5 linked regions of the Xenopus tropicalis genome follow. The protein of the gene in region 4 interacts with the protein of the main gene of each other region in a pairwise test. Links are inferred from orthologs where the notes say so. Each region holds a gene or a part of one and is shown on either strand. Other genes may lie near its edges. The genes, in order: csnk1d, sdf4, usp8, snca and lamp2.

What was found.
Region 1: the proteins of snca (region 4) and csnk1d interact in binary tests that used the Homo sapiens proteins (3 or more experiments, as listed by UniProt). The link is inferred for Xenopus tropicalis from reciprocal best matches to the Homo sapiens genes SNCA and CSNK1D.
Region 2: the proteins of snca (region 4) and sdf4 interact in a two-hybrid assay, tested with the Homo sapiens proteins (2 studies listed by BioGRID and IntAct). The link is inferred for Xenopus tropicalis from reciprocal best matches to the Homo sapiens genes SNCA and SDF4.
Region 3: the proteins of snca (region 4) and usp8 interact in a two-hybrid assay, tested with the Homo sapiens proteins (2 studies listed by BioGRID, with this or other methods). The link is inferred for Xenopus tropicalis from reciprocal best matches to the Homo sapiens genes SNCA and USP8.
Region 5: the proteins of snca (region 4) and lamp2 interact in binary tests that used the Homo sapiens proteins (3 or more experiments, as listed by UniProt). The link is inferred for Xenopus tropicalis from reciprocal best matches to the Homo sapiens genes SNCA and LAMP2.

The regions. Positions count from the first base shown.
Region 1 is NC_030686.2:23,251,941-23,256,032, forward strand, and holds the start of csnk1d (casein kinase I), read right to left. Parts: upstream 2,813-4,092; 5' UTR 2,594-2,812; coding exon 2,518-2,593; intron 1-2,517. UniProt on the Homo sapiens protein: Essential serine/threonine-protein kinase that regulates diverse cellular growth and survival processes including Wnt signaling, DNA repair and circadian rhythms. It can phosphorylate a large number of proteins.
Region 2 is NC_030683.2:93,660,520-93,664,686, forward strand, and holds the start of sdf4 (45 kDa calcium-binding protein precursor), read left to right. Parts: upstream 1-1,352; 5' UTR 1,353-1,405; coding exon 1,406-1,725; intron 1,726-4,167. UniProt on the Homo sapiens protein: May regulate calcium-dependent activities in the endoplasmic reticulum lumen or post-ER compartment. Isoform 5 may be involved in the exocytosis of zymogens by pancreatic acini.
Region 3 is NC_030679.2:104,931,715-104,935,229, forward strand, and holds part of usp8 (ubiquitin carboxyl-terminal hydrolase 8), read right to left. Parts: intron 2,389-3,515; coding exon 2,244-2,388; intron 494-2,243; coding exon 267-493; intron 1-266. UniProt on the Homo sapiens protein: Hydrolase that can remove conjugated ubiquitin from proteins and therefore plays an important regulatory role at the level of protein turnover by preventing degradation. Converts both 'Lys-48' an 'Lys-63'-linked ubiquitin chains.
Region 4 is NC_030677.2:78,449,869-78,453,383, reverse strand, and holds part of snca (alpha-synuclein), read right to left. Parts: intron 2,889-3,515; coding exon 2,752-2,888; intron 1-2,751. UniProt on the Homo sapiens protein: Neuronal protein that plays several roles in synaptic activity such as regulation of synaptic vesicle trafficking and subsequent neurotransmitter release.
Region 5 is NC_030684.2:46,049,599-46,053,775, reverse strand, and holds the start of lamp2 (lysosome-associated membrane glycoprotein 2 precursor), read left to right. Parts: upstream 1-1,364; 5' UTR 1,365-1,418; coding exon 1,419-1,464; intron 1,465-4,177. UniProt on the Homo sapiens protein: Lysosomal membrane glycoprotein which plays an important role in lysosome biogenesis, lysosomal pH regulation and autophagy.

The sequences.
Region 1 (4,092 bases), on a different chromosome or scaffold from region 4:
TGTAGTTATATGGACACAAATATATTTACAGTCCTGGGATAGTTTGACATTTTTAGAGACACACACAATATCCTCTTTACATTATAAACCAAGTGCATAATGGTCCCCATTTACCATAATGTGTAAAACGATAAAAAAACGGTGTGTGGTTTATTTTACTCCATCCGAACGACATGCCAAATTACGCCATTATTATTGATTCCATTATTTCACACCTTGTGTTATCAGTCAATGGGAAAAATGTAAGCGTCAAGTAAGGTCTTGCAGAAGTTGTTGTGGCAAAAAAAAAAATCTCCCCCCAAAGAGACATATTTTACCATATCAAGTGGGTGCTTAGGTTTTTGGATTATTATACAGAGCTACACGGTCACTAAAAATCGATACACAACTTGATAAATTACATAATTTTTTACACGCGACATCTGGTTTATTTGTTCGCCTTCACACAGTATGATAAATAGGCCCTGTCGTGTCATATACCACAATATGGTGAAGTGGGAAGTACAATGCTAAACGATACAGGGTTCTACACATGTAAATGATGTATGGGTTCCCCCACAGACAAACCCACTTGTCTCTAGAAGAACAATTACCTACCTATATTATAGACTACCCTGGGCTGCAGAATTGTTCAGCCTACTGCTGAAGCCTTTCTAACCAAAATGTCAAAATAATTTCTCTCTATTATTGGCCTGCTCTTAACAGCCCAATCCCAACACTATCTTTATATGATGCAGCTAGTTCCCTAGGGGGCTACAGTAGATAGGTTCACATTGGGTGACCTGATGAACTGCAGAGCCCCAGCCAGTCCTGATATATACCACAAACATCTCAATATTTTACTGATTTGCATTTGTAGATGGAAGGCTTTTAAGGAAGGAAAAACACATTTGGCGTCTAGAATCCCTGGGAACTCCCAGTGACAGAGCCTAAACCCAATGTTTCGGCTACAGTATCAAGGTTTAAGCCGGGAATTACATTGCCCACAAAAATTATATTTTAAGAAATCGTATGGGTTTAAAAGGACACAAACATGTCAGATTATAATACCAGGCATGCACCAAATACCAGAATCGGTAGTTGGAATCCCAGACATTTTTAGCAGGATTCGGCCAAACCGGATCCACACCATATGTATTGAAAAAAAAGTGGTCACACACTACATCAGCATTTTTTCCCTCATTTACTGCAATTTCCTTTTCTATGTTCAGTTCAGTATTCAGCTGAATCCATACACAAGGAATATGTATAATTTGCAATACTCATTGCCGAGTCCAATCTGCTTGTCTATAATCGGAAGAATGGGTTGTTTTTATGGACAAGCAGCCACACACATGATCATGCACAGTGCTAGGCCTATAAAGGTCTCTGCCATTGGTGCCATTGTATGCAATGATGAATTGCACTTTATAATATAGCAATCTGACAGACAAATCTGGGTATGGATGATGCCAGGAAAAAACTACATGTCTATATGTATATCATGCATATGTAAAGTATAGCATAAGGCTGTTTTTCATGGTTTGGCGTAGGGCCCCAGCTCCAGTGACAGCAAACTTGAATTATACAGCATACAATAACAATTCTATTCATCCTACTTGGTGGGTTAAGGCCCTCGTCCTGTAACAGCAATGTAATACCCCCGTGCACAAAGCGAGGTCCATAAAAAATGTTTTTCCTGAGATGAGGATGAAACTTGACTGGCCTGCACCTCAACCCAATTAGATATGGTGGGGGGACTGGGAACACCAAGACCAGTGCCACTAATGCTCTTATGGTTAAATGAAAGCAAATACAGTCTCCAATATTCCTCTGTACTTTAGTTAAAAGCCCTCCTAAAAACAGCCTGGTGAAGATGCCCTTTAAAAGAATCTTATTGTAAGATGCAAGGATCTAGAATTGGAGATGGGAAAGGCTGGACTGTATCTCCATAGTAATGAGGTAGTACACTCTGCCACTAAATATATCACTATCAGCTCTATTGTAAAGACAAAACACTAGAGTAAAACATGTAATCTCTTACTGGGCCTGTCTAATAACCCCATAAGGTTCTAACCCACCATCTTTCCTGCACATAGTAGACACAAATCCTTATAAAAAGAAAGGTACCATTTTAGTGTGTCATTTCCATCAACCCCCCCCCCCCCCTCTCCTCCCCCAGACTATATGCCAGCTGCCTACCACAGCCCCCAGGTCTAATACAGTATATTGGGGCCAGGATTACACCCCAGCTGGCAGAAACCCCGTTGTTCTACTGTATGCCTTTACATTGTGGGGCGGCAAGCTTAGTCTCTCCCATAGCTCTCAGCTGAGACTGTAGCATTGCTTAGTCTCTCCCATAGCTCTCAGCTGAGACTGTACCATTGCTTAGTCTCTCCCATAGCTCTCAGCTGAGACTGTACCATTGCTTAGTCTCTCCCATAGCTCTCAGAAGAGACTGTACCATTTCGTAAGGGGAAGGGGTAAAGAGCCAAGGTTCATGTTAAACAGTCCTACACTTATAAATTATCTTCTTACCCAAATATATGTCACCGAATGAGCCGCTGCCGATCTTTCGACCCAACCGATACCTGTTTCCGACTCTCAACTCCATCCTGCCGTGCAGGCCCTTTCCTCCTTCCCCAGCTATCAGTCTCTAAAGCCCGGGGCACTTTTCACCATCAATTTACGTTTTCCATCCACTACTAGGGAGCATAAAATAGTGCCGGTACGATAGATCAAAGAGCGCTCTCTGTGTTCCTTTCACTTCCGCGCTCCCGGGAAGCCTTAAAACGTAGGATTTAGGCGGATTATACCGAGTACTTAGGCCGATTCCAACAAACAAACCTGAGAGAGGCTGTCACCGAAACTCGTGACGTCACTCTACCTAGCAACAAACTAGCGGCGCTGGGAAGGAGGAGCGTAATGGGGGTCACGGAATCACATGATCAGCTGATGAACTCGATTTTCGCAGTCATTTAATTTAATGGTCTAGGTTAGGTTTTCTTACATACAAACTTGAGAGAGAAAAAAGGGTCAGTACAACAGCAAACGTTATTAAAAAAGAGAGGTTTTGATCAGTTACAAATCTCTGTTGTTGCAGGCATACGTGACCCCGCAATTTGCCAAAGTCGCCTTGAGAGGAAACTTTGGGCGACTTAGGCAAATCGCTGTGCCGCGTATGCCATCCCACCGGCGATTTACATTCTAGCCTGTGGGATGGCATTGCGGGGAGATTAATTGCCTGCGACAACAAAGATTTGACGCCCGGCGACTTATCTCCCAGTGTGTCACTGCCCTTAATGTTAATTTTAAAACAAACGCTTAATCACTGGTTGTACACTGAGCACAAAATTTAAGAAAATATCCAGTTTTAAAAATTGCTTTCTTTTTCATTGTTATATAAAAGATATTAAAGGGAAAGTATACCTTTGCTAAAAATTAGCATAATGAATAGAACTTGTGTTAAAAATAGATTCTGCCTGCCTATAATAATTTCCCATTTTTGCCATTCTAATGTACTCATTTAAATTTTTTTTTTTTTTTTCACTGATTGCCATTATAACATAGTAACATAGTAAGTTAGGTTGAAAAAAGACATACGTCCACCACATTCAACCATAATGCCTATACAGTATATAACCTGCCTAACTGCTAGTTGATCCAGAGGAAGGCAAAAAACCCCATCTGAAGCCTCTCTAATTTGCCTCAGAGGGGAAAAAATTCCTTCCTGACTCCAAGATGGCAATCGGACCAGTCCCTGGATCAACCAGTACTAAGAGCTATCTCCCATAACCCTGTATTCCCTCACTTGCTAAAAAGTCATCCAACCCCTTCTAAAAGCTATATAATGTATCAGCCAGTACTACTGGTTCAGGGAGGGATTTCCGCAACTTCACAGCTCTTACTGTAAAATACCTCTCCAAATATTTAACTAAAAACCCCCCTTCTTAACGGAGTGGGTTGCCCTTTGTTTTTGGAAAGTACACATTTACCTGAATTCAAAATAGGTCTTTCTATTCTAAAATACCAAGCCCCAAAGCTTCCATTTTGCAGCATCTTATTTTCTACAGGTAACCATATAAAACACCCTAAATATGGACCCCACAGGTC
Region 2 (4,167 bases), on a different chromosome or scaffold from region 4:
CACCATAAAAGTTCATGGAGGAGCCAAATAAGGGCTAAGATTGGCTATTAGGGAGCCTCTATACACACTATCAGCTTACAGGGGGCTTTATTTGGTAGGAAATCTTGTTTTTATTCAACCAAAACTTGCCACCAAGTCAGGAATTCAAAAATAACTACCTGGTTTGGGGGCACTGAGAGCAATATCCCAGGGGTTGGGGAGCAACATGTTACTCATGAGCCACTGGTTGGGGATCACTGGTTTAGATACTAAAAAAAAGTTATATGGTACAGAGGAACTCTCAAAGCATTATGATTTGACTTTTTAGTAGAATATTTATTATTATGGTTTACTTCTCCCTACCCACTAAAACCCCTTGGTATGTCTGTTGGACTTTCATGCAAATGATTCATAACAAATGATTATGTATGACTGGTTATATTATAATAAATTATATTATACCCAGTTATATTATTTTGATTTGTTATGATCCTTCTATCTATGTTAAGTCCTTGAAAGTAGTACCATGCTTTTTAAGCATTTATGCTTTTTTTTACTGTTCACTTAAGGCTGTTACATATAGGAAATAATGGATGCTATTCTGTAGTGACATGTCATAATTCTAGCCATATACAAGAAACAGATTCTAATTCAGCTGTGTGGCATAGACCCTAGAGCTGTTTTGAAAATCTGGAGCTGCTCCCATGGTACACACAGAGAAATAGATAGGGGTAGAAGCCTAAATCTGCTTAGGGTGTAATTTGGGGTAAATGCTTATATCTGTCTTTTGGAATGTCCTTTATCCATGCTAGGGTGACTGTTAAACCTGTTTTTTGATTGCGAATGGTAAAATCTTGAGCTCTAAAAGTCTGACAAGTCTAGAAAATAAGATATGGATATTTTTAACACACGGATACAAATGTATATACGTACTACAAGTCTGAGTGGATTTACTGGTTTTGAGAGAAACACAACCAGGACATGGATGGTTCTATGTAAATTAAGTAGTTTGTGTGTTTTCTGCCAGTATAAGACAAGTAGCGTTTACATTTTTTTCCCCACATATGGTGCATATCATAGGGTTCATATTTTTGTATAAATTGTGATATTGCTGTTATGTACATTGATTTTTTTTATGATTTCACAGATTAAAAGAATGTACGACCAAAGAATGTCTTTTTCACCTGGGTTAATGCAATTCCTGTAACTCCTACTCATGATTAGTTGTCAGCAGTATTATCTGGCTGGGTTGAGACATTCCACAAGAGTTTTGTAGATTTTTGCCTGGACCTGCATATTAATTGCATTTTCTTTGCTATAAGTAGCTGCGTTGTAAGCTAAATTCACTACATTTTGTTTTTTCCCAGGATATAAAGAACACTAAAAGCTGCACTGTGTGGTCTCTGTTTAAGCTCTAAGCAGAAAAATGGTATCCAAGCAGGCTTTCCTCTTCAGCCTTGGTTCGCTCTACCTCTCCCTCCTCTTTGTGTTTCTCCTTATGGATGTTTATGCCAGGCCTGCAAACAATTCTGCTCTCAAGGTAGAAGGAAAAGAAAAGGCCACAGACAATAAAGATGAAAATGAAATTATGCCCCCGGACCATCTGAATGGAGTAAAGATGGAAATGGATGGTCACCTCAACAAGGAGTTCCACCAAGAGGTTTTCCTCGGTAAAGAAATAGAAGAATTTGATGAAGATTCTGAACCCCGAAGGAACAGAAGGAAACTGGCAGCTATTTTTGCCAAGTAAGTCAACCATTTCTCACCCTCAATTCTTTCAGGAATAAATTAACATCGATCTTAAGCCTTTCTTTACCATCTTTTTTCTACAAACGTTGTTGAATGTTATTCCCATTCTCATGATAGAGATCCTGGTTTGATTTCCTATGCCAACTTGAAAAGTTACTAAATATCCTTAGTACCCCTTATCATGGTTACCTTGATTGCTGTAAAGTACTATATAAGTAATGAGGTGTTGCAATTACATAGGGCCTTATAGGAGCATGTGACTTTACAGAATGAAAAACTTTATTTGGCGCAGGAATTTTGCAGGAACTTTTATGCTGTTGGGGATAGAAGGTGATTTCAGTTTATACTAAGTTTTATTGGGCATCATCTTATCGGAAAGTGAGGATGAAAGCACATCTGATCAGAAAGTGGGGATCAGATGTGCATCATTTAGCCTTAAATCTCAAACAAAGTAGTGTTTGGTCAGTTTAGCAGTACAGCATGTTGTTTGTTAATAATATGTGATGTAGGGTGAACCCTGGAAAAAACATGGCAATCTTTATGGCTATTGATCTTTCTTTTTAAAAATATTAACTGTACTGAAGGTGCATTTTTAAAATTTGCAGACTAAGGAAAAAATTGTCAAAATTATAGGCATATTTTTAAATTTCATCTCTTTCAGAAATTTGAATTACAGTTTCTCACTTGCGTTTATTGAGTTAAAGGAATACTGTCATGGGAAAACATTTTTTTTTTTTTTTTTTAAAAAGACCTATCAGTTAATAGAGCTTCTCCAACAGAATCCTGCATAAAAAGTGAATTATTTGCTATATAAACAGTGTCCTTTAGAAATAAAAAATACACCATAAAAATCATGACCGTATCCCTTTAATGAAGACATGTGAGAAAATTCTTCTTCAGTTAGGGGACATCCACCTTTGCTTCTTTTGAGTTATTAAAGTGATTTACTATCCCAGCATAATAATTCTCAAGTAAATTCACTGATAAAATTCTTCCATAAAAGAAATGTCTGTGCTCCCTTATTGGATAGAATGCTTCCAACAAAGTATGGATTTTTTATTAAAAAAACTTGATATAGCAGTCCTTTAAAACCATCTTCTACAAAGTAACAAAGCTTGGGTATAAATGTACAGTTGAGGTTACACGCACTACCTTTTACAATATTCAGTAAGATGACAGGGCATTTTTAAGATGTGAGATTTTTGTGGTGAACTTAAGCTAACTTGCTTCCTTTAGGTGTACAGTTCCAGTAAGCTTTTGCAAATAAATGTTTTATAGTTTCATAACTTATAGAAATTGTAAGATCATTTTTGCTGGGTAATATTTCTTACCATTCATATTTTTTTAAAATTGTTTTTTCCATAGTCAAAAAGCTTTTTTAAATAACCAGTTTTTATGATATCTAAGGCAGAAGTCATTTCATTGCAAGTATTATGGGAAATAATGAAGTCTACGCACTAGGGGTGGTGTAGCCACAACTTTATAGTCTGGAAGTATAGTTTTCTTAGTGAAATAGTGTTGAATTCTCAAATTCTTCAGTAAAATGAGGAGTTATTTTAAAAAAAAAATTGCCAGTGTTACTATCCTGGTCCCTGTCTGGACAAACAGGTACCCTGCCAACCTGGGTGCAGAGAAACCAAACAGATTTTGCCATCTCAATGCAAACATGTTTCTGTGCCATGTGTCTACACACAGGCCAACGCAGTGCTTGTTAGTGCAGATGCTGGAGTGGCCAAAGGCGAGTGGTTTGGGTCAGTGTCACCATAGTCAAAAGACATTAAGTTTCAGCCACAATGACTAAACATTGCCTAAGTGCTTGCTCCGTTTAATTATTAATGACTAAAAGAACTGACATACTCCTAGTATGTTTGTGGAGTGAGGAAATCTGAATACGGAGGCATGGGGCAAACATACAAACTCTTTGCAGACAGTGCTCTGCTTGGAATTGAACTTTGGACCCCAGTAAGGCAATACCATGAAGCTCTGTTAAATTTTTACTTTTCTGACACTTTTTGATTTCAGTCATGCTATATGCAAAGTATTTTAGAACTTTTATGTCTCCCCTCAAGTGCTTCTGCTTTGTATGTCTGTCCAAAGGAATTGAACTAGAAAGGAAAATTATGGTAGATCATTAAAGGAGAAAGAAAGGTAAAAACTAAGTAAGCTTTATCAGAAAGGTCTATGTAAATAAAGCCATAAGCACTCACAGAAACGCTGCACTGAGTCCTCTATCAAAAGATTTCTTGTGTCTATTTTCCTCTGCCAGAGACATGCAGCTCTCTCCTGCTCTCCCCTCCCTCAAGAATGCTAAAAACTCACTCCCCCCATTAGGAATGTGGATCTGAGCCAATCAGCAGGAAGCTTCCACATAGTCTTACAAACTGTGCATGTATACGGATCTTACTCTTGGTGCAGGAGCGAGTCATTATGGGAACTTTC
Region 3 (3,515 bases), on a different chromosome or scaffold from region 4:
CCTTTCCTTCACATTGTTGGATTTTATATTACTATTGTGCTTTGTCAGTGGACCAGAATCCAGGCAAATGATGTAGCATGTAAAAATAAGTACCTCTAAGGGGAAAATTAATCCTCTTATTCCTATACCACTAATTGGTAACTACTGCTGGTATACTACTAAAGAGCATAAATGAAAAGCTGAGATCAGCACTATTATACATTACACTGAAAATCCATTTTAAAATAATTAATTTACACACACATATATAGCACAGATAAACCTACTTGTGGAATAACTTTCACAGTTTTCTGTGGCTGACAGACTTTAACAGAATCTGGAGTCTGAGCATCTGGTACAGGGTCATCCTTTTGTACTACATGGACAGGTTCCTCTGTTTTTTGAGTTTTCACTGCATTTATAGTATCCTCATAGCTGCTTTCTTTGATGCATACAGGGGGTGGTGGTGGTGGTGGAAGTGCTGGTTCTTCTAGAGATGGATAACTGAAGTCCACTAAAAGAGGGGAAAAAAGCATTATCTGCATGCACATTTCATGGATTTTATTAGAACAGCATATAACTGTATTGCGGTACACAGGCATCTCTCTGCAGAAATTCTTAGCAAATCTAATTTAAGGCCTGTCTCATATGATAACTGCGACAACCTTTCCCATTTGTGTGAGGCAACATGTAAATGCTAGCTGTCTGTCTTATTGCTTAAGAAAAAGACCAGAGACAAAACACAGAATGCTATGCATAATTCCAGAAATTCACTAGTTATGGGAAGCAAACTATTATATAAACAATGATTATAACACTAAAATATGTAGATCTCTGTTTCAATACATATAATTCCGGATTGTTTCTGGAAACAATTTCCTCTTGGTTTTTTTTTTGGTTTGTCATTTTAGGTATCTTGGTCAAAGACCTCCTTTTCTAGCTTCACAAGTTCTAGGCCCCAAGTTATAAAGAAAAGCTTACATGGGGAACTTAACAGGAAGGATGCTCTGCTCCAGTTCTGCTATAAAAAGCTAAAATTAACTTGCCCAGTGACTTGCACAGATTGCTCCACAATAAGGTACAAGAAACTGTTCAAAACCAAACTCACTGCAGCAGTTCACATGCCAAATAAGAGAAATAGGGGACAGGGTGGACTACCTGGAACAGTGCAGACTTTCAAGCAGTGGCTTCAAAAGAGGATTAAAAACAATTGGCCCTACATCAGGCCCAAATTTTGCAACTTGAAAATTACATAGAAGATCTGGAAAACAGATAAAGGAGGGGCAACTTGAGGGTAAGGGTGGCCCCTGAAATGGTTACCGACCTATATCGCTTGATGAATGAGGTATTGCACCAAACTTCTACCAGACCTACCAGAAGACCACCTCCATATTCAAAGAATTCGTCGCGCCCTGGGACACCCCTGAAACACCAACCTCCCCAGAGGTATCATACTAAAGCTGCACTATGTAGAGGTCTTGGACTATGCTCTACAAGCTGCATGTACTGTTGATAAGCCATACGAAATGCGGATATATGCCGATATTGCGCCAACAACTCTACAATAGAGAAGATTTCACCATTTACCTCACATCGCCCATATCCTGCATGGACAACTGTTACAACCACAAAACAATTAATGCTACTACCTTCCACCAAAGACCAACTCCAGGTAACTTGGGAAAGGGATTTTTCTGCCCCACATCTCAAGGTCAATCTAAATTATCTCACATAATGTACAAGACCTCAACTCCCCAACCAAAGAAAGGCAGAATTTGAGATGTACCAACGCTGCACCCCTGACAATCTTCAAAAAAAAAGTTTTCAGTATAATTTGCCCTTTACCCTAAACGCGGCATGGTATATACATTAGATGTTAGATGTAATATCTAACAGAGATTATATTTAAAAGAGGAAGGAAAGATAAAATTATAATCATTTGAATGATACCCCAGACTGCTGCTACTTTCAGAAGAAAACTGCCCCAGTACTTCTGATCAAACACCATGAAGTGATCCTCTTCCCTTATCTTCTCATAGGGTGCACATACAAAGTAGAGTGAAAAGCCAAAATTTTGCACTTTTGCAGCTACTACACAAGTATCAGTCCAGGGCCACTGGAGAATGGAGAAGGAGAAGAAGAGGATTGCTCAATGGTGCTCACTTAGAAGTACCCTGGGACAGTGCGGTATTCTGCTAACAGGAGCATGTCTAAAAAATCCATAACATAATACAACAATCTGACGCATTTACTGGTCAACTTACATGACAAAGACACAGATTCTTGTGTTCTTTTCCTGGGCACAGTCACTTTCCCATTTGTTGTGAACATGGGATAACAAAGAAGCCAATTTTCATAACCACCTTCCAAAACTAAAGGTTCACTCCGTAGGATTGTTTTTGTTTCCCACTGTACAAAAAAATAGAAACAAAGATCATAAGTGAAAATGGCCAAAAAATCCACATGCAAATACATTTGTTTGCACTGCTATGTATTCTCTACTTGCTAAGAATAGTCTGTAATACTATGGTCATGCATATATTCTGTCATGTGTGCGACTGTGATAGGGACCTTAGCTTGTAAACTCCACAGAAGCAGGGATTGATGAGAATGATGAATAATCTCTGTAAATGCATTGGTGCTATAGAATAACCGATATATAAAAAAAAAATAAAAGTTTGAAAATGATGCATCTGCTTGTGTGTACTCAACTGAAGAAAAATCAGTGATGGGGATGCACCAAACACATAATTTTTTCATTTGTTTGAATACCAAATACTTCCCAAAATATTTAGCTGAATTCTAAATGGGATCCTTAATCTAATTTGCTTTCAGAATTCTGCACTTCAGAAAAAAAATAAATGACATCAATTGTGAACAAAACTTTATAGTGTTCAATTTTTTACAGCTTCAAAAATTAACGTCACTTTAATTTAGTTGAATCCTTGAACTACTGCATCCATAATGAAAACTAGTTGGTGTTTAATTAACCGATTTAAATAACTGGGCGATTTGTTTAGATTAAGTGTGAAGACATTTTTGCATTGCCATAATATTAAGGAGACAAGATACATCCATGTTCAATTGAACCCCATAAGCAGGTCTTTTACTGTGTTCTGCATATTGTCGTCATTTATAACAAAAAATTGTAAATGGTTTAATGTATTAAACCTATGGAGAATAGTTTAACTGTTGTACTAGCTGTTTTCTCTTTGGTTGTACTGCAGCATGCTATATATGCTACAGTAAGGGGCCCATTTACTTACTCACGAACGGGCCGAATGCGTCCGATTGCGTTTTTTTCGTAATGATCGGTATTTTGCGATTTTTTCGTTACCAATACGATTTTTGCGGAAAAACGCGAGTTTTTCGTAGCCATTCCGAAAGCTGCGATTTTTTCGTAGCGTTAAAACTTGCGCAAAAAGTTGCGATTTTTTCATAGTGTTAAAACTTGCGCAAAACGTCGTGCCTTTTAAGTTTTAACGCTACGAAAAAAGCGCAACTTTTCGCGCAAGTTTTAACGCTACGAAAAAATC
Region 4 (3,515 bases):
TCTCTGTTAAAGTTCGGCTTTTCACTCTACTGCGCATGCATGTGAGCGAACAGGAAGGAGGAAGCGATCGCTGCTACCCCGGGCTGGTGCTGTTCTCTCCGAACAGGGGCACCAGTCCGGGGTAAAAGGTAGGTGATTTAAGTCACTTGGGGGTGCCTAACATTTTGGCACCCCCAAGTGACTTTGCCTTTCCTTCTCCTTTAATGTACATTAAGATTTTTTTGTGATTTTTTAGTGTCAGTATCACTTTAAGGAACAGGGTTCCAAATTACAATTTTAGAAAACCAAAAGGCCCCAAAGATTTCAGTTAACAGATCTCATATGAGCACCAAAGACACACATACTATTCTCTGTCAACACTAGAATAGTTTTGTTTAATTTAAAGTCTTTTGCTCGTCTACATTGCTTCTATAGTAGGCTTATCATTTTGGGTTTTTCTTCTAGAATGCAGTACAGGATATTTTATTGGCCACCACACTCTCCTTTGGCTCTACAGACTACATTGTATGACAACATTATGGCCTTCCAACATTCCGTATAAGTAATAGCAGACCTAAATCAACAAGTGTGAGCCAATTGCATGTGTAGGTACAACTCACAAAGTATTAATTGGAAAAAAACCTTCTTCTTTAGGCATGTGATAATAATTCCTGTGCTCTGAACCTTGTACAGGTATGGGATCCCTTATCCAGAAACTCATTATCCAGAAAGCTCAGAATTACAGAAAGCCCATCTCCCATAGACTCCATTTTAATCAAATAATATAGAATTTTAAAACTGATTTCCTTTTTCTCTGTAGTAATAAAACAGTACCTTGTAACTGATCCCAGCTAAGATATAAATAATCCTTATTGGATGCAAAACAATCCTATGGGGTTTAATTAATGTTTTATTGATTTTTTAATAGACTTAAGGTATGGTATCCCGAGCATTCTGGATAATGGGTCCTATACCTGTACCTTATTCAGTGAAGTAGGTTCAACTGTGTATAGATGTAATACCTCCATCAGTTGTGTTTCAGTGTTTCAATTATTTTGCACTTTACATAGGTCAAGCTGCCCATACATGCACAGAAACGAGGTTTCGTACAATATATGGTGCCTGTATAGTGTATTGACCAGGCGACTAATATGGCAAAAGCCTTGGATATCAGTCACCTCATCAATCGGTTGGGCGGAACAGAAGATTTTGATCAGGCACGGTTGAAGGCATCCAACCAAAGGCATGCTTTTAGGGCTGAATCGTCTAATGGGGTAGAATTCCTACTCTTTCTACCACCATATCTGATGATTCAGCTCTGAACGTTAGTGGAGGGTACAAACAATCTTTCTTAAAGATCGTACTTGTAACGTGTATGGCCACCTTAAGTCTGCATAAGTCTGACTACCACTAAACTATGTGATGTCAGAGATTTCCAGATTAGGCATGATATAGTAGCACATAGAAAAGACTGATGAACTCATAAATAAATAGATATTTTTAGTTTTAAGTTTAGTTTAGTTTCCCAGCTTGAAATTGTAAAGGCAACATATAAGAGTGTAGCAACCCATACCCTCAGACAAAGGAACAATCTAAGTACATGATTCTAGTGCTTGCAGATCATACATAAAATCACCATCTAAGGTTATCAGATTTATCTCAAAATTCTAGTAAAAAAGCTTCTACAGAATCTACTCTTAAAAGGCTTAAAATGGAACATGATGAATTTAACATATTTGATTAATCAGATCCCTGTGATTCTTTTCACATCTCATGCATTTGTAATATTTTACATACTTACATCTGAATTCATTAACACAATTAGTATCACTTCCTTGTGTCAGCACAGTAATCCATAGAAACCACTCAGAATTTAGCTTTATTCAGTCAACTGCAAGTCCATGAAAAAGTCTCTTTGGTTGCTATGGATAACTGTGCTTAAGCTAATTTGCCCCTATAATGGTAAAGAAGCCAACTGAGTTAATCCATTAGTTAGTAAATATATAAATTTTGCAATTAAACACAGATGTGAATTAATATCAATCACCATACAGTATATTGATTTTAGCAAAAACATTTTGATAAGTATGCTTCATTGAGCATGTATATTTTTATCTGATACAGACACTCAGACCAATCAATTGCAATACTACAGCATTAAAAAGTATTATGTGTTGAGTTTTTTAAATGATCATTTATACTTATTAAAATGTATTTAATTATAATAATTTTATTTTATTTTTTAATGACTAATTAACATTTATCTCTGATTCAATCACTGTATTTGCTGATTCCCTAATTTTTTCAGTAGTGATGAGCGAATCCGGTTTTGTTTGATTGTTGCAAATCTTTTAAAAGATTCACGAAATGGCAAAAATGTCGCGCTCAAAAACAATTTGTTGCGCGCATCATTTTTTGATGCGTGTTTTTGACACACATCACTTTTTATGTGCGCCGAATTTTCCCGGGCCGAATTTTGACGCTCGTTTCACTAAACAATCCACCAAAGGCGAAATTCCCCATGAATCCATGCCAGGCAAACTATTTTGCCCATCACAAGTGTTCAGTTTATATTTTGCTCTGTTTTACTTAGCAATAAGAAAGGAAAAAGAATAGCCTAATAGCTGCTGCACATATTCCTTCGAAGTTTGTATTGACCTAAAAAGGCTAATGCTTGGATCGTTCATACGAAAGTTTCGAGTTTTATTACATATGGGAACTTAAGTCTTTCAAAGACTACATAATATATAATAAATTTAAAAAAGCATTTACCTTTTGATCCTTCTTTACCAGTCCTGTTGCTGCAGCAATATTTCCGGCTCCTTCAACTGTCTTTTGTGCAACTGCAGTTACTCCTGTGACTACTGCTCCACCAACATTAGACACCTGCTCTTTGGTCTTTTCAGCAACTGATGTACAATAAACAAACAAAATTCAATGCTCATGCTCTATAAGATGTTTGGTTCATAAAAATGAAATATGGAAAAAAGCAAATAATTAGGCAATAGTATTCTGTGCCCACATTTATGTTTCTTTTAGCAATGCAGAATACCCCCAAACAATGTAGGTCTCTATAAAAATAAAATGCATAAACAAGCTCATATGTAAAACCCTGCTTCACCCAAATAAACCATAAAAATATACTTTTGTAGTAGTATGTGCTATTAGGTACTCCTAATTAGAAAATTGCCATTTTAAGAATTAAGGGCCACCTCCTAGGATCATAGGATTCACAAACAAGCAGGACCGGATTTGTGGCGAGGCTACAAAGGCCTGGCCTAGGGCAGCAACAATTTAGGGGTACGCCCGCCACACTGAAATTCTGAAATTTGCTCCCATATTGACCAATAGGGACCTCTCCCCACTGCTCCGCATGTCACAAAATGGTGGCTCAAGGGAAAGGATGGAAAAGGGCAATATTTGCTGATATATATATTCCAGTTTGGCAAGATTTTTTAATTGATCACTTAACATAATATAAACTATCTGTTGGTTATGTTTTCATTCTGGGGGTATAGTTTTCCTTTAACCAAAAA
Region 5 (4,177 bases), on a different chromosome or scaffold from region 4:
TAGGTAAAAGGATATATTGATAGGGATAGATAGATGATAGATAGATAAAAGGATAGATTGATAGGGGTAGATGATGATAGATAGATATAATGATATTTAAACTACATATTGGAGAATGCTGCATTATGTGTGAGGATGTAGAAAAACAAAGATCAATTTTCTAGGAATCCCACATGATGAATGAATGCAAAAGTTGAGTATGTTACATAGTGGGATTTTCTCTCTGTACCTCAAAACAGCACCTTTGACTCAGCATTTACTGTATTTCAGCTTAATATTATGTTTCATGTCGCCTCCCTCCTTCAATCTGCAACTAAATGGCCTTCTAGTGCAAGCTTTTGGCTGTGCAAGGCCAAGCAGGGATATTTTAGTTATACAGGGCCAGTGTTAGGGTATGGCAGAATTATTATGATTTTTTAAGGGCTAAACTCCACGGGAGATTTTGTAGGAAGGTGTCAGATTGACAAAACACATCCTACAATTCAGATGTAGTTGCATGGGTTAATATAATGGAACTGATACAAAAATCTGATGTGTTGCCTACATGAAAGAATTGCCATCCAAAGGGATTGCTGCCTCTTTATCCGACGAGATAAAATCTTTAGTCATTGAAATACATCGACTGTCAGATGTAGTTGTAGAAACAAAACCAACCATCCAATGTTATCTGATCCGACTTCACAATACAGCAAATTACACAGCACTTTATGGTAATTTATAACAAATGGGTCAGAATAAAAATGGGATTAGGGGGCCCTGTATAGAGATTAATTTTGCTCTCCAATGTTAAAAATGCCAACAGCCTTTATTATAACATGATTCAACATACACAAAACCCAGAGTCTATGGGGCTTTTTTTCTGCCTGAATGGCACATAGGCAGTAAGGAACTCTAAATACATACACAATATTTAAAGCCACTTACCCCTCCCAACAATTAAAAATCAACCAGTCAATGCTTGTTGCCCCTCTGGGGCAAGTTCAGTTATTCTACTATAACAAGTACAAAAGAGTAATTTAAACCAAGTGCTAAATGTGCATACAAATAAAAAATACAAATACTTCTCTCCTAAACAATAATCTATGAAGATTTCCTCATCTTATGCCTAATGTTACTTACTGTATAACCTGTACTAAGAATTGTCTTGTATCACTGTTGTTACATTCAGCGAAATGTTAAGAGATGTAACAGTGGTGTAAGTGCCGAGGGCACAGAATCTCAATCTAAATCCGGCCGCCCGCCCGCTCTTCCATTTACAGCTTTCTGAAACGTGAACCACAAGGACAATGGAAGCTTTTTTTGTTTTCTGATTGGTTAGCGAGGTGATGATCTGTCATGTGACTGTGGTGTGTTCTTTCTGCAGTCAGTATTCCAGCTGGTAGCACCGTGTACGGGTTTTGTTGGGGCCACTTGGAGCCATGGAGCGCTGTGCGTGTCCTGCAGCCTTGTTGCTACTAAGCCTAGGTGAGTGGGGGGCAACGGGGAGAGGACGGGGGGGGGGGGGGGGGTTTGGGCTAAAGAGCCGCACACAGAGGCTTTTGTGCTTAAGGGGCTGTTTGTGGGGGTGGGTTAGGAGTGGCTCAGGGACAAGCGTAAAATCATTTTTTTTTTAATTGTATACATGTATGAGCAGTTACTGTATAACTAGGCGCAAATGTATGCGTCCAACCTGCTGCTTCCTGCTGTTGCACAGCTACTGGGCTGCTGCTCCCTGACCAACTGGGGAGGCCAAGGTTACACTCACAGCTACATACCTGCCTACAAACAACTGGCCTGCTGAGTACAGCAACCGGAAGTCCCTTTAGCCTGGCACAGCAAGCAGGGATAGCTCACCCAAAAATGTAGGGGTAGTACTTTAGTGAAGAGTTCCAGGCCACCATGTTGGATCCAGTAATTGCTTTATAATCTTAAAGTGGCGCAGGCAGATTCAGCAGCTTATCTGCCCCTGTATGGGGCCCGCCGACGGGCATCCCTGATCGATATCTGTACGTCAAGGTGTTGAGTGGGCAGGTTCGATTTCCTCATCAGATCAGGGGCCACAAAAGGAGCGCATCAATGAACCAACTGGCAAGAAATCTGCGCTGTATAGGAAACTCAACAAAGGAAGGGTAGTTCCCTTGCACCTTTCCAGCTACTGCCAGGGGGATAGTTGGGTAATATGAATAATGGGAAGTACCCAGGAGGATGATCTAATGGCCTTGCCAGTGACCGGCTTGCTTACTGATCCCCAGTGTACAATCACACTCCGTAGATCTGTCTTTTAGCAGCCATGTTGTATGGTGAATATGATGTAACTTCTGGCATGGGAAACCTGAGGAGCTGCAGGAAGGTAAAGCACCTCTATCAGGATCCCATCTACAGATTAGGGCTCAACATTGTAGTTTAGCAACACCCAGAGTGATGTTGCAGAGTTCTACATCCTTAATAGTATGATATAATTGTTGTCATGTTAATTCTGTGTTCTGCCTTTCTTTAGGGACACATGCCTTCTTTCTAGGGACTAAGGCTCATATGTGAGAGCATATATATGTATATATAAAATAGTATATACACACACACATATACATATACATGTGTGTGTGTGTGTGTGTGTGTGTAAACTTATATAATTTAACACCATCATCTTTTTTTATCTGACCCCAGAGTTTGCTCTTGCATTTATACCTATGGATAATCCTTATTCATCTCTTCAGTGGCAGCAATGTGGCTGCTCCCACTTCCATGCAAACTCATCTTTCTGAGCTAAAGTGTTGAGCAGGGAATTTTTAGTCCTTTCAAGTTAGGGGGGGAAACAAGTTTGCCCTTTAATTTGGAATGAATTGTTGGGCTATGGTTCCTATTGTCACTGACATCTCTTGATTGCATAATGGCAATGAAATCTTTAATCTGGGCAATGGACATTTAATCCATCCAATCACAGAGCTTTTTTTTAGGGATATTACCTGGGGATGTGCGCATACAGGCGAGATTTTACCTTTAATTTTCCCACCTCATTATAAGGAGAAGGGAATCCTGCAAAGGGAGAGTAATGCGTGAAGCACATGCGTTCCTTGCCCAGGCTTGATTCATACAGTGCTGTTAAACAATATGGATCTTCAGCTCAATGCTTTCACTTTTCATGACCCATAGCAGCTAATGGGACGGCAGCCACATAAACCAATTGAAGGTTAGCATATTGGCTCTGTTTAACCCTTTCTCAGCTAGGCACTTAAACCTTTAGCGCTTCCAGCATGCTTTATATGCATCCCAGGTGTGCCACTGAGACCAAACCACCAAATACTCATGTGCAGGATATTTAGGGAACAATAATAAATACATTTCAACAATTTCATTTAAATGTAGATAAATGGCACAGCATAAGCTGTTGTGCCCGCCAGCGATGCCCTCTCATAGGCAGCTGCCAAGGTCGCTGTAAGGACGTTCCATCCAAAAGGTGGTCTAATAATATCCTGGCTGGATGTAACCTATGCTTGTCTCTGAGTAACCTGATGCATAGGGGTGATCTCTTGATAGAGATCGTATGATATGCACAGAGAACATTACATTCAGCCGCAGCCGTGAATATTAAAGTGGACTTGTTTTAAGTGCTTTCCTGAGTTTTGAGTGACCTGGTTTTCTCTTGGGAGAGGCCATCCTGCTAAGTATTGTAGCCTTTTGTCACATCCCTGTCATAATCATAGGAACTGCTAGAGCAGTGCTGTCCAACTTCTGTTGTACCGAGGGCCGCAATTTTTCCGACCTACGTGGTGGAGGGCCGATAATGGAAGCCAGTTTTGACCACTCCCATTTTTGAAACCACACCCACTTGAAACCACACCCATGTTATCACATGACCATACCCATATTAATGGTTGTAGTACAGCAAAAACCTGCCATACTCTGCCTGCCCTACCCTGCCTGTGTGTGCCATACTCTGCCTTCCCTGCCCTGCCTGTGTGTGCCATACTCTGCCTTCCCTACCCTGCCTGTGTGCCATACTTTCCCTGTGTTTGCCATTCTTGGCTGGTTTGTGCCATACTTGGCCTGTGTGTGCCATACTCTGCCTTCCCTACCCTGCCTGCGTGTGCCATACTTTCACTGTGTTTGCCATTCTTGGCTGGTTTGTGCCATACTTGGCCTGTGTGTGCCATACTCTGCCTGTGTGTGCCATACTCTGCCTTCCCTACCCTGCCTGTGT